2 linked regions of the Arabidopsis thaliana genome follow. The protein of the gene in region 2 interacts with the protein of the main gene of each other region in a biochemical or structural test. Each region holds a gene or a part of one and is shown on either strand. Other genes may lie near its edges.

Evidence for each region.
Region 1: the proteins of AT2G25790 (region 2) and CLE45 interact in a test that uses a peptide from one of them, tested with the Arabidopsis thaliana proteins (one study listed by BioGRID).

The regions. Positions count from the first base shown.
Region 1 is NC_003070.9:26,175,019-26,180,061, reverse strand, and holds CLE45 (CLAVATA3/ESR-RELATED 45), read right to left. Parts: upstream 2,021-5,043; 5' UTR 1,913-2,020; coding exon 1,538-1,912; 3' UTR 1,137-1,537; downstream 1-1,136.
Region 2 is NC_003071.7:10,997,479-11,005,503, reverse strand, and holds AT2G25790 (Leucine-rich receptor-like protein kinase family protein), read right to left. Parts: upstream 5,019-8,025; 5' UTR 4,874-5,018; coding exon 2,362-4,873; intron 1,844-2,361; coding exon 1,473-1,843; 3' UTR 1,232-1,472; downstream 1-1,231. UniProt on the Arabidopsis thaliana protein: Receptor with a serine/threonine-protein kinase activity.

The DNA of each region.
Region 1 (5,043 bases), on a different chromosome or scaffold from region 2:
TGGAACCAAAATGCGGATACAAATTGCGTATTTTGTAAAAATCCGTTGGAGACGAGAGAGCATTTGTTTTTTCAATGCCAGTATTCGAGAAAGGTGTGGGAAGAGCTGATAACTCAGACAAAATAGAAGGATATCACGAGAGAGCTTGCGAGTAAAGATCTTGATTCCACAACAAAATTTATTCCCAAGTACTGTTTCAAAACACGATACTCTTTATTTAGTGATAAAGAAATGAGAGGAGGCACGAGACCAATCTTCGACCACGAAGAAAATCGTTAAATTGATTGACAAGAACATGAAATCCGTTTGAGCGTACTAAGAAGAAGAGGTGAAGATAGATCATAGAATCTCTTAATAATTTATTTTAAGAAAAATTTACATTCATATGTATCAATGTTTTTTTGTTTTGTTTTTGAATACAATTTAACATTAGATTCAAACAAGATACATATTTTTTTTAAAAACTATTTTTATATTTCCATCATTAAAATTGTATAGTAAAATTATAAATCCATTTTATTGATGGACAACGATAAATCTATTAATTTATGCAAATTTTTTCTTAAAGTTAAAAGATGGATTTAACTTTAATCATCGAGCACAAATCAAACACATCAAGGCTGGGCAGGATAAAAAAATATCTAAAGGCCTAGGCCCAAAGAGAGTTATTTTTATGAACTGGGCCTAACAACTAAACTAAGCTCTCTGGTAGCACCGTTAGGCCCTCGGCGACTGAACCGTCGTAGCGAGCCGTTCCTTGCGGCTAGGTGCCAATGATTCTCCTCCCCACCGTATGAGGAAACTGCTGATCCGGCGGCGGAGTTAAACTCGCCGGAAGATGTATTCGGAGAATAACTGTAAGTCCTCGTATTCCGCTGGTTTTCATGGCGCCTAAGTAATACTTCGATTTTGAGAGGTTGATCTACCGATTATTAGTTGGATCGCATCACAATGTAGGTATTAGTTCCACTAAAATCTTCATGTGATTGTAAATTTCTTGAAGGTTGATCTTAAGGCTACGTTCATGAAGAATCCTTAGAATTCCAATTTCTTAGATTTTCATTTTCACTCAAATGATAAGTTTGATATTTGTTAGAAAGACAGAATTGTTTACCTTTCAAGTGCAAATGTGATTTGTGTGAAAATAGAGGTTGCATAGTGAAGTTGTAGCAAAATCAAAACTTTTGAGATATGTTATATACATAGGACATGTTTTGGTGGGAGTCAAAAGCATTGCAGAAAGAACAAAACTTATACGAACTAATGCAAACAATAGAGTGGGGACTTGGTCAAAGAAATATCTTGAAAACAAATATGTATTCTCTTGGTGTATCTGAACAGATAATGCTGTTCTGCATAATCTGATGGCTTCACCATATTGTGTGTTCTTATCAAAACCTATACTTGAAAAATAAACCCTGAGAATAACCAACTAACCTACCTCCAGCTTTGATAAGGTTGATTGTTATGCCCTTTTCTTCTTCTTGCGTTTCTATAGTATATTGCCTTTTTCTGTATTTGATTTCTCTTGCGCCGTTTAAGAAAATGGCTGAGCTTTGTTGTGGATAGGATCTGATCCTCGTCTTACACGTCTCTTGCTTGATTTGAATGAGTCTTCTGTCTTATTCTTTCGTTCTTGTGTCTCCTCAGCTTTGATTTTATCTTTGTTAACTTCCTCGAGAACGCGTCGGTTTTTATTGAGCATTTCTTGATCTTCAAGGGTGTGTTTGAATTGAACACCGATGCTCCTGAGCTTAGAAATTTCCTCTGTCTGAACTCCTGCTTTTTCTGCTTGTGTTTCTTTGAGGAAAAACTCTCTATGTCTCATGGCTGAGACATTATATCTGTTGTCTGCTAGTAATCCTATGCAGACGAGAAGAAAAAACATTGATCTTGTACTGGAACCCAACATTTCTGCTCTTAGGCAGACAAGAAGATTCAGAGTATCTTTCTTTTCTTCAAAGAAATGAGAAGGTTAGGAGTTATGAGATTATAGCCCTTCTGAGTTCTGATTTTGTGTGTGTTCCTTCCTGTAGATATAGTCATGTTATATATCAGTTATTGGGATTTGGAGGAAGCTTTAAAGTGTAAAAGCACAGTGGGTCCCTGTGACCCTGGGGAATTTAGATTCACTTAAAAAACATTGCTTTGGAAATCTAAGTAGATTAAGGCTGTTATGAAAGAATCTGACAATGATTGTACAAAAGAGTTCAGTTCACGAAAACCGCTGGGAAGTTAAGTATCTTTCTTCATTGGTTTCCCTACATCTCTACATTTATCCTTTGCTTTTGTCTAACCATATCCATCTCATTCCAATCTTGACTGGAAATTAGCCTAATTTGGGTTTCTGGAGACCTTCCTAACTAGCCACGTCGTTGAAGGCGACTGTTAAACTGACACACTTACACTTTCTTGAACACTTTTACCAGTGAACATGTTTAGTGAGATTCTTTGTATACACCATCTATAAGCTGCTTTGGTTATAACCCAATTACCTATGCTGCCATAGTTCCATTATATGTTGTATTCGTTTCTAATTATATTGACGAATAGTTTAAGCGAAACTACGAAAAAAACAGCATGAAAAGTTGAGTTACGGTTCAATGGCATTGCATATTCATTGTATCGAAAGCTTTTTCCTTGATTTCAAAATTGTACTTTGAAGTATACAATACCTTTAACTTTTTGACAACAATGGGTTATATCTTAATCATTCAAGTTTACACTCTTTAATGTTGTGGATTCTGGCTATGTATAATTCCTTTGTTGTTAAGGAAAGTGGTTTTGTTTGATGTTTTGTTAAAACGGCAGGAACACAGAGGACCGGAGCCGTGGGCCATGCAAACCGTTGGTACTATTCCATTACTACACAGCCTACAGGAGCTACTCATATAAAGCATTAAACTTTGGCAAAAAAGAGGTACAACAGAGTAACCCTCTTCGAAAAGAAACAAATACATTATTTTTTTCCTCTTTAAGAATGATTCTTTATATTATTCTAAGATCTTCCTCCCCTTCACTTTAGGATCCCTAGCTCACTTTTTTAAGCAACAACATCGGCTGCATGTTTATTTGTGCTACTTCATCTTTACATCTTCTCACAAATATCACACCAATATCGAAAAAACACATACCATAACTCCACATAGTCACTTTTGCCTGCAATACTATGTAATAGTAGTCTAAGATAAAATCTATTGTCTCTAGTGTAGAAATTACCATTAGATTCTAGCATGAGGGATTCAATATTTGCTTGCCAAAGTTCAAGAAATTAGTACTTTGTTTGTGTTTGGTTATGCTAATTACTCTTAGTACTTTTTCCCACCTTGTTGATTCATCAACAGATCTTAATCCTCAATGCAATGATTCAAAAAGAACCACTTCTGTTTGATATATTGCTCCCTTAATTATGATTTGTTCTTTATCCTTATCTGATTTATTCATGAGGGAAGATCTTTTTCTTTATCTGACTACACTTTTCTTTACTGTTGTCATTTAAATTTCTTTATAACAAATATTTTTAATCACATGCAAACTAAGAACATTCTGAAGCATCAGGTTCTGTTCTCAAAGTAACATATTTTAAAACTGAGGATTGGATATTGTTTGCAGGCTCAAAAACAAAGCAAGCAGGAGACCAGTCGTTGGTCCAAAAAACAAAAATACCCATTTGCTGATTTTGAGTTCCCCTCCCTTTGCTTTTTCAGCATTCTCGAGGTTAGTCCTAAAGTTTGCAACTTTTCCTTTACTTAAAAAAACCCAAAACATACATTTTTTTTGAAATATTGTAAGATAGTGAAATCTTGAATGTTGTTGATGGAGATTGTTTTGGTTTTTGAATTTAAATTAATAATAATCTTATTCCCATGAGGGTTTTTTTGATGTGACCAATCAGATCTTTGATGTGGTCGGAGGGATCCAAAAGAAGTTTAAAGCAAAGTAAAACAAAGCAAACTTGAGGTTATTATTGGATTATAGCTGATGGTGATATTCCCTCGGTGGATAAAGGTCCAATACACAATCATTAAAACAACTGGCTGATGAGTGATGAGCGATGACAATAGCAAATGAATTAGGGATGTTGCAATGGACTGAGTTGTTTTGACCCAATTTTGGTTTAGGGGTCCAATTTTGTCCTGATTTGAAGGTTTAGGCTTTGGACCGGCTTGTGGTTGACCACTCTAAAATGAATAGGCAGATGTGTCCATGGTCTGCGTCGGTGGGGGTTTAGGCTTTAGCCTCATGCGGACTAAAATGGACCTAGTTGGAGAAAATAGAAATTGGTGTGTGGGTTCTCTTGCCATCACAAGATTCACAATTCCTTGTTTCTAGCATATTGATGTCCAACTTATGAAATACTGTAGTTGGTGTCAGATTCTGTTTTCTATTTATGAGAATTACAATTGTGCATTCTTGATTAATCAACCCATTTTGACATTCTGGGAAAAACGGGCCTGTATATTGATGGGCTTGAATATGATTATTTTTCTTCCTCGGCCCATGTTTTTGGCACTTTCGAGTTTTGAGTAAATGGGCATTAAGCATAATCTAACTGACTTAGTGCGAAATATAAGTGATACTTTTCTTTTTGTGAAATTACTAAATTAGTTTACTCGGCCCATATTGTACTCTTTTAACATATCTTGTTTGGCTACATTCGAATAAATCAAGCTCGACATAAGATGCGAAAAGGTGGTAACAGTATCATGTGCATATCATCATATCAGACAGTCTCGTTACACATCAATCAAGTGCAAGTGATGTATGACGTTAAGTTTACACCCAAAACTATGTTTGGTTATAGTTAAATCTTATTAATTCTTACAAGTTTGTGTAACTAACTTGTCACAAGGAGAATTATTTCGTGATATAACGATTCCAACGTCTATAAGTTTTCCTAAAAATTGGTTTGGTTGGCAAAAATTAATTGGTGTTTGGTATTGTTTCGAATCCGAAACAACATTTTGACTCAATCCTTCTAATCACTAAACATTATTGAAATCAGCCAACTAAATTTGCCATACTTATATGCATAAACTTTGT
Region 2 (8,025 bases):
CACAACTAGCATGGAATATAAACTTTATGCCAAAGGCTGATTTCTGTTGTCGATTCGTGGAATAAGGGTGTTTCCGATGCGTTATCGATACTTTTTGCCAACAATATATATCATAATATGTTTTCTCGGAACATTTTTTGGGGGTAAAATGTTAAATTGTATCTCATTTTTGAGATTTGTTTTTACAGAATACAGAATACAACGAAGAGATACAGGTGACTGAAATCTACAAAACAAACAATATATTATGAAAGAAGGTCTAAAAGGGAAAATAAAATCAATGGAAGGAGTGCGCTTTGACAGAAGAAGACACGAATAAGCCATCAGTAGTATCTTTGTGTCTTATTGACGTTCATTTATATAAAAAAAAACTTTTATCTGAAATTAATTATCTGTAAGCGACATTATTTTGTAGTGAAGGAATAGTAGTTTGTTTTCAACTAGTAGTTATTATTTTGATAAATAAAAAGTATATTGGCCAGTCAATATTAATTTCTAATATATAGAAACATAATTACAAATGGATACCTCTAAAAGTTTGCAGAAAGCATATGAACAAAATCTCTCCTATGATGCAAAAGAGAAAAGAAAAGGTTTTCGATCTTCTCATTTCTATCATTATATTGCAAGAAAAAAGAATTTATATATAGACAAACATGCACATACAAAACATAAAATAAATTGTGGAAAGTAGATAATAAGAAGAGAATACAAGGAACAATGATGACAAACTTAAAAACCAAAGTGGGTGCAAGTGTTGAGTCCTTTTCTTATTGGCTATTCGTTTTGTTCCTCAATATCTTTTGACCACATTGTCGAAATTTCATGTTATTAAGTACAATTTTATTAAAGTTATCTACTCGATCCTCCCATTTAGTTATCTCTTGTAATTATTTTATCATTATTTCTTAGTTGATTCATAAAGATGAAGAGGACAGTAGTGCCAACTTATTACTTATTCTTTAACGGGTTGGTCTACCATAATGGATTAAAGGATTATGGAAACAAAAATGGCTTAGACCCGAACCGAGACAAACCAGGTTGCCTTTTCTCGAAGCCAGAATCGGACCAGTACCGGCCTATGTAGTGAACTTGTTACTTGTACCATCCCGATCAATTTGAAGTGAAGTAACTAACAGACACTTCATCGCTACATGTCACTTGTGAAATGAATATAGACGCTACATTGCATAATCATTGCTAGTCTAGTCACATTTTAGAACAAATTCGTCAACCCGGTCCACGGAAGAAAAACATGCATAGAAGATGTTCAAACCATTCTTCACATTATATATTATATATACATTCATCAGTAAACAATCAAGCATAAACAAAACCATCTTGATAGACAATATATTAATTTGGGTTATTAAACCTAACAAAAAAAGACAAAGAAAATGAGATTTTAAAACAAAAATAAGAACCCAAATAAAATTACATATATATAATGGGGTCAAACGAAGCCAGAATTGTCAGGCCAACGATAGTATCTTTGACAAATAAGTAGTGCAAGAAGAACTTGACGATGAGGTAGACTCTAATGCTTGTAACACGTTATTGGTGCATGGCCTCTCTTGCGGATCAATGGCCGTACATTTCAAAGCCAAGTTCATAACATGGACAATCTCGCGCTGATGCACTGATGTGTCAATGGATGAGTCGATCCACGTGTCGATATGGCAATTCGAATACGAATATCTAGCCCACTTGACCAAACTTCCGTTAACTCCAGATTCGATGTCCTCATTACTGGAGGAACATTTACCGGTGAGGAGATGAAGGAGGAGGATTCCAAAACCATAGATGTCACTTTTACTTGTCATCTCCTTGTGCTCTCTCGTTTCTACGTTACAAAACGAAGAACTAGCATTAGAGGAAAATAGAAACACAAATAAAATCCATTTAACATGTAACATGAAAACAAAAACATTTTAAGACATCCATTTTTTCTAGATTAATTAGTGGTGGACACGCAAACGGGAACCAAAGTTAAGATCATCAATTAGAAGCCGGATCCGAATTTTGTGCAATTAAACTGAATCAACCAAAATTGTATTGAAAATTTGATCTTTTAGCAATGTATATAGAAAAGGTACATTGAGTTATACTGAAAATCTATAATATTACATAACTTCTTAATATTTTTATACAAATTATTTATCCAAATCTCAATGGAAGCAGGAAAAAAAAAATCAAGATCAAACTGAATTAATTTTTGGATCGATTTTAGAGTATATTTTCCAAAACGTGAAAACCGATTTGTTTTTAACATGGGTTGTAATATTTGCATGGAAAGCCATTATTCTAAGTTGAATAATTGAATTTGGTCTTTTTGTTTTGACACAGAGATGTAAATTATACCTGGGGCCATGTAAGCAGCATCCATGCAAAGTAAGCCCGGAAGACCGAGACAAAGCCTTGGTTCATCGGTGACGTCGATGACAATATTCTCCGGCGATAAATTACCGGCAACAACAGCTGGAGAACACCGGCAATGTAAAAACCGAAGAGCTTCGACGATTCCCTTCATAATCTTCCTCCGTCTCTCCCAACTCAAACCACTTAAAACCTGGCTCAGCCGTTTCCCTTCGACGTCCTCATGTATCAAGTACGCCACAGTCTCCGACCGGCACGTAGCAACTATCTTAAGAATGTTTTTGTGGTCAGAAAGTTTCCTCATATCGGATATCATCTCGGGAAGAGAATCATACTTCTTGACCTCCTTAACAACGAAATGCACGCCGTTTTTATCCACAAGAACGTTTTGGTCCTTAAGAGACGATAGAATTGTGTTCACCGTAAACGATTTCATGAATTTTGAATCGAAGAATTGAGTTTCCCACTTTGTACCATCTTCTTGTTCCACTTTCTTGACCTCCAAAACGTTATGCGTTCTTTGAAAGACGAGAACGATAAAGAAACCAGAGACTAGGACAGCCAAGAAAGCTGCAAAGGTTGAAGTGATGATTAACCACCAACTCTTCGTACTTCTCTTTCTTACAACCTTGCAAGGACGTAAACCGCTAGCGGAATTTTCGCTACAAAGATCGATGTTACCCTCAACTGCTGTTGCGTTTATGGCAAGAAAAGCTCCGGTGAAAGGTAAGCTTCCGTGAAGAAGATTATGAGAGATGTTGACTTGAACAAGAGACTCAATGTTTCCTAGATTCTTCGGAATCTCGCCTGATAATTGGTTGCATGACAAATCAAGATCGCTGAGAACTTGGAATTCTGCGAAACTCGAAGGGATCTCTCCGGTAAAATTGTTGTGGCTCAAGTCAAGATTCACTAGATTTTTGCAAGAAGACAACTCCCTTGGGATCACTCCAGTGATTTCGTTCTCACTTAAATCCAAATCCATTATTTCCGGAAACGTCATGAGCCCTTGTGGAACCACTCCAGAGATTTTGTTCCGTGATAAATCGAGCTTCTTGAGTCTTTTGCTTCTAGAAAAATCCGGTAATTCACCGAAGAATTTGTTCACACTGAGGTCTAACATCTCAAGTTGTGGCATGTCCCATGTGTTGATGTTACCTTGGAGGTTGTTGTTGGATAAGTCCAAAAAGTTAACGAGTTGCAACTTGGTGAAACCTCGAGGTAACTTGCCTGAAAAGCCATTGTTTTGAAGCCTCACGCGTTCTAAGCTCTGACACATGCCCAAACTCGGTGGGATTTGGCTGTCTAGAGAGTTAGAGAAGAGGATGAGCTTAGTGAGATGGCCAGAATCACAAAGAGTGTCAGGGAGTTTTCCGGTGAGATTGTTGGTAGAAAGATCAAGAACAGTGAGATTGTTATGTTTCCCAAGATTTGCCGGAATTCCACCGGAAAATCTGTTTGACCAAAGCTGAAGAACTTTTAGACGTGGCAAAGAAGTTACTCCTTCTGGAATTTTTCCTGTTAAGTTATTAGAGAAGAGATGGAGAATCTCCAAGCTTTGCATCTGAGCCACGAGCTCAGGGATCTCTCCCGAGAGCGAGTTATCGCTAAAGTCGAGAGAAATTAGGTTTTGGAGGGAGAAGATGGACGGTGGGATCTGACCGGAGAGCTTGTTTTGATAGAGAAACATATACTCAAGCTTCTTCAAGTCACCTAGTGAAGGAGGTATCGGTCCAGAGAGATTGTTGTAGACGAGATCAAGGTGGTTAAGAGAGGATAACCCACCGATTTGGTAAGGGATTTCTCCTGAGAGATTGTTGTATCCCAAGTATATCCATTTCAAGTTTTTCATCTTCCCTAATTCCACCGGTACACCTCCGGTTAACTGGTTTGAAGCCAATGTTAAGAACTCTAATCTTGAGAGGTTTCCAAGATAGCCCGGTACATGGCCGGTTAAGACATTTCCACCGAGATCAAGGACTCTAAGGTTAGAGAAAACCCCGATGTCGTTGTAGATTTCACCGGTGAACATGTTGTTGGAAAGATCTAACGTGTAGAGGTTCGGAAGAAAGCCTCGAGGGATGGAGCCGGAAAAGTTGTTGTTGCTTAAGTTGAGGTAACGGAGAGAAGGAGACGAAGTGGTAAAGATATCGTGAGGTATTGGACCGGACAAGTTGTTGTTTGAGAGGTTGATAGTTTGAAGAAAAGGTAGGCGAAAAGTAGCGGCGGTGAGGATTTGACCGGACATGTTCTTGCCGGAGAGATCGAGAGAGACAACACGAGAGATGTTGTTGCAAACGACGCCACTCCAAAGACACACATCATTGGTTGAAGAGTAAGACCAAGAGGAGAGGTGTTTTAGAGGGTCTTGAATTGAGGATTTGAATGATAAGAGAAGCTCGAGTTCATTTGCATGGAGGCAGGAGAAGTTAAGAAACAAGAAGAATAATGTGGTGATGAGATAAGGAGGGTGATGATGATGATGAGAAGTAGACATGTTTGCTTTTGTTTCTTTGGCTTTGCTCTATTATTACATGAGGTTATTTGATATGTATATATATGCTCTTGTGTTGAATGTGTTGCTCTTAAGGACTGTGATTTGCTTTGAACCTTAGCTGTAAAACAGAAGAAAGAAAAAAATTAAAGGGGGATCAATGATGACCTTTGATTAGAAAGATTATAATAGTCTTCTTTGTCTTTTTTTTTTTTTTTTCAAATTAGACTTTTAATTTTTTTTTCCTTCATGTATAAAATCTTAGAGAGTTTCATAAGAAAGGCAGTGTGCACTATTCTTTGTACTAGATGGAAAAGGGATAAAAAGTGCTAGGATGGGCTACAAAAAGGGGAATATTACCAAAGTTTAAATTTTAAAATAGAAAGAAACAAAAAAGGTGTCGAGCACTTTGGCACCTTAAATTATGGCTGATTTATTTAATATAGATATTATTCAGTAAAAATATAAAGAAAAATAATATTGAATTAAGCATTTGTTAAACAAAAATCGTTCTTTAGATTATGAACTAGAACAAAAACTAATTTGTTTACCCTCAAAACACAAAGTAAGAATGTTGTTTACGTTGTTATATAATTTTCTCTTTTCCGAATTGAATTAGTTGAATCACCGGCTGGTACTCCTACTCTATCACAACTTAGTGTTACTTCAACAGTAAAAACTAAAACCAAATTTTAGAAAGAAAAAAAAAACACTTTGTGGCTTATTAATTTGTTTTAGGTTAATTGTATTCAACTTAGTGCATGTTAGAGTAAATTTAATATTAAGACCTAATTTAGGAAAAAAGAAACATTCTGTGGCTTATTAATTTGTTTTAGGATAATTATATTCGACATCGTATTTTATTTTTTGTACGTTAAAAACGCTAATAAAATTTTATATTAGAGAGCTAAGAAATCTTAAAAATAGCATGCTTAAAAACACTTGCATCATAAATTAGTTGTTATGGGAAGCTAATCAGATTATAATTGTTATGGTAAGAACTAATGCGAGTAATCATAGAAATATCACTGTTACTTTTCTTTCTCAATCACTTTTGTAATCGGACATTTGAACACGGACAGATGAGGATGGGATTGATGTCGTCAAAAAGCCTCTGAGATGTTTGTCGGCTTACTATCGAAATGTTCTTTTGACTGAAGAAAATCAAAACACTTTTTCTTGTGACTAAACATCTTATGTGAACGTTGAAAAGCATTTTCCCACTCTACGCACTTAATCATTTTTTTGTACTTAAATCTTTCCTAGTTAATTTGACCTTCTCTATAGTATTTCTGTTATTTTTAAGTATAAATTTATATAAATAGAAATTCAAATCCTGGCTACAAAACAATTTGTACGAATATAAATATATGTACGTAAAAATGTGATAACCTATGTCAATCACTGTATTATAGAGTAATTCATGTAGATTCACTTCGAGTCCAATTCTTTGTTTAAATTCATGTTGTACTTAAATTTAATTTTGCACTATATAAGTCTCAAATTTAGAACTTTATTGATAAATCATTCCTTATTAACCATTGTTTTTAAATACAATGTTTGCAATGGTCTTAGGCTACAACATTGTGCTATATTCGGTGACTACCTATCCTCATTGTCCTTCTTTATTGAATCTTTGGTCTCGCTCACTAGCCGTCTTAATAATTAAACAGGATTCTGATCTATTAAGCTTAGTGAGTATAATAATCTCGTCTACCTAGGTAAATACATAATCAATTCATGTCTAATTTATTCAATTAGCTCTCATACTACTATATATTTTCCACTTGATAAAAAAATAACCACTTGGTTCTTGTCTAATCAGCTTGGCTTAAATAACCTAAGCTTAGACCAAATATTAGCATAGACTAAGTCATGCTATATATCAATCCCAATCATGTTTCACCTACTTTACATAAACTATGTCTTCACACATAAACTTGATGAGTTAATTCCAATTTATGTGGTATATGTAGTGGTCTGTGGTCTAACCCATATGTCTTTTTTTAAACGACTTATCTACGTAGTTACCTTATCTCTCATCAAGCTTAACCAAATCATCTTTCTTAAACATAGAGCGTCCTAATGTTTTCTATTAACATATATTATGTTTTCTGAACATATATAACTGTTTAACGAGTCATCTTACATTTAAACCCCAACGTTATATAGTTTAGTTTCACTGGTATAGCTCTTGTTTTGATGATATATATATAAAACAAGAGCATTTCTAACCAAATTCCAATGGATTTTAATTGCTTTTATTTCTGATGAGAAAACTATGAGTGTACCACCCGGAAGGTAAGAAAATAAACGTTTTGAGTTATCGTATCGAAATTGTATAGTTTATGAATAGAGTTGTACCACCAAAACGCACATCGAGAACTAATTGCAAAGGAAAAATGGGTCCATAAAACAAAAAGAATGAATTTTATGGAGAGAATATACAGAGAGTGGTCATTGTCATGGAAGGGCATGCTTTGCTTAATTCCATTTTCTAGGGTTTTGCAATTCCCCCACACGCCCACTTTCTCCCACCCCACGCTTGTTCTCTTCCTTTTGTTTTCTTCCCTTAATTTAATGAAATAATTCCAACTTCCTCCCTAAATAGACTGATAAACTAAGAATATCCATATAAGGGTAACATATATCCCTTATCATATAAATAGGCAATTTCATGTAGAGAAAAGAACAACTCCATAAACATGTGATAACATAAGCTAAAGCATATAAGAACCAGTCCTCGAAAGAATACAAAAGATATATGGAATTTTTTTTATGTAAGATCATGAACCTTGAATAATTTGTTTTCTCCAAAGCTACACCAAAGAAAGCAAAAAAAAAACTAACTGAGGCTTAAAAATATTTATGGGTCTCAGTCCAAGACCTCCAAATTAAATTAGTTTTAAATGAAGACCAGAACGGTTATAAATGGGATCAGAACCATTTGGAAAAACTGTTGGCTTCATATTTTTTTTACGTTTCTAGAACCCTAAGAACAATTTCAAAGTGATGAGACTTTGATCTAATCGTTCGAACACCAATAAACACAAGACACAACGATTCTTGCTAATGACGAGTGGTGAGGAACGAGTGACGTTGAGCCGACCCGTTTCCTTTGGAGAAGGTGTCTCTTTCTTTTTTACACACTGATT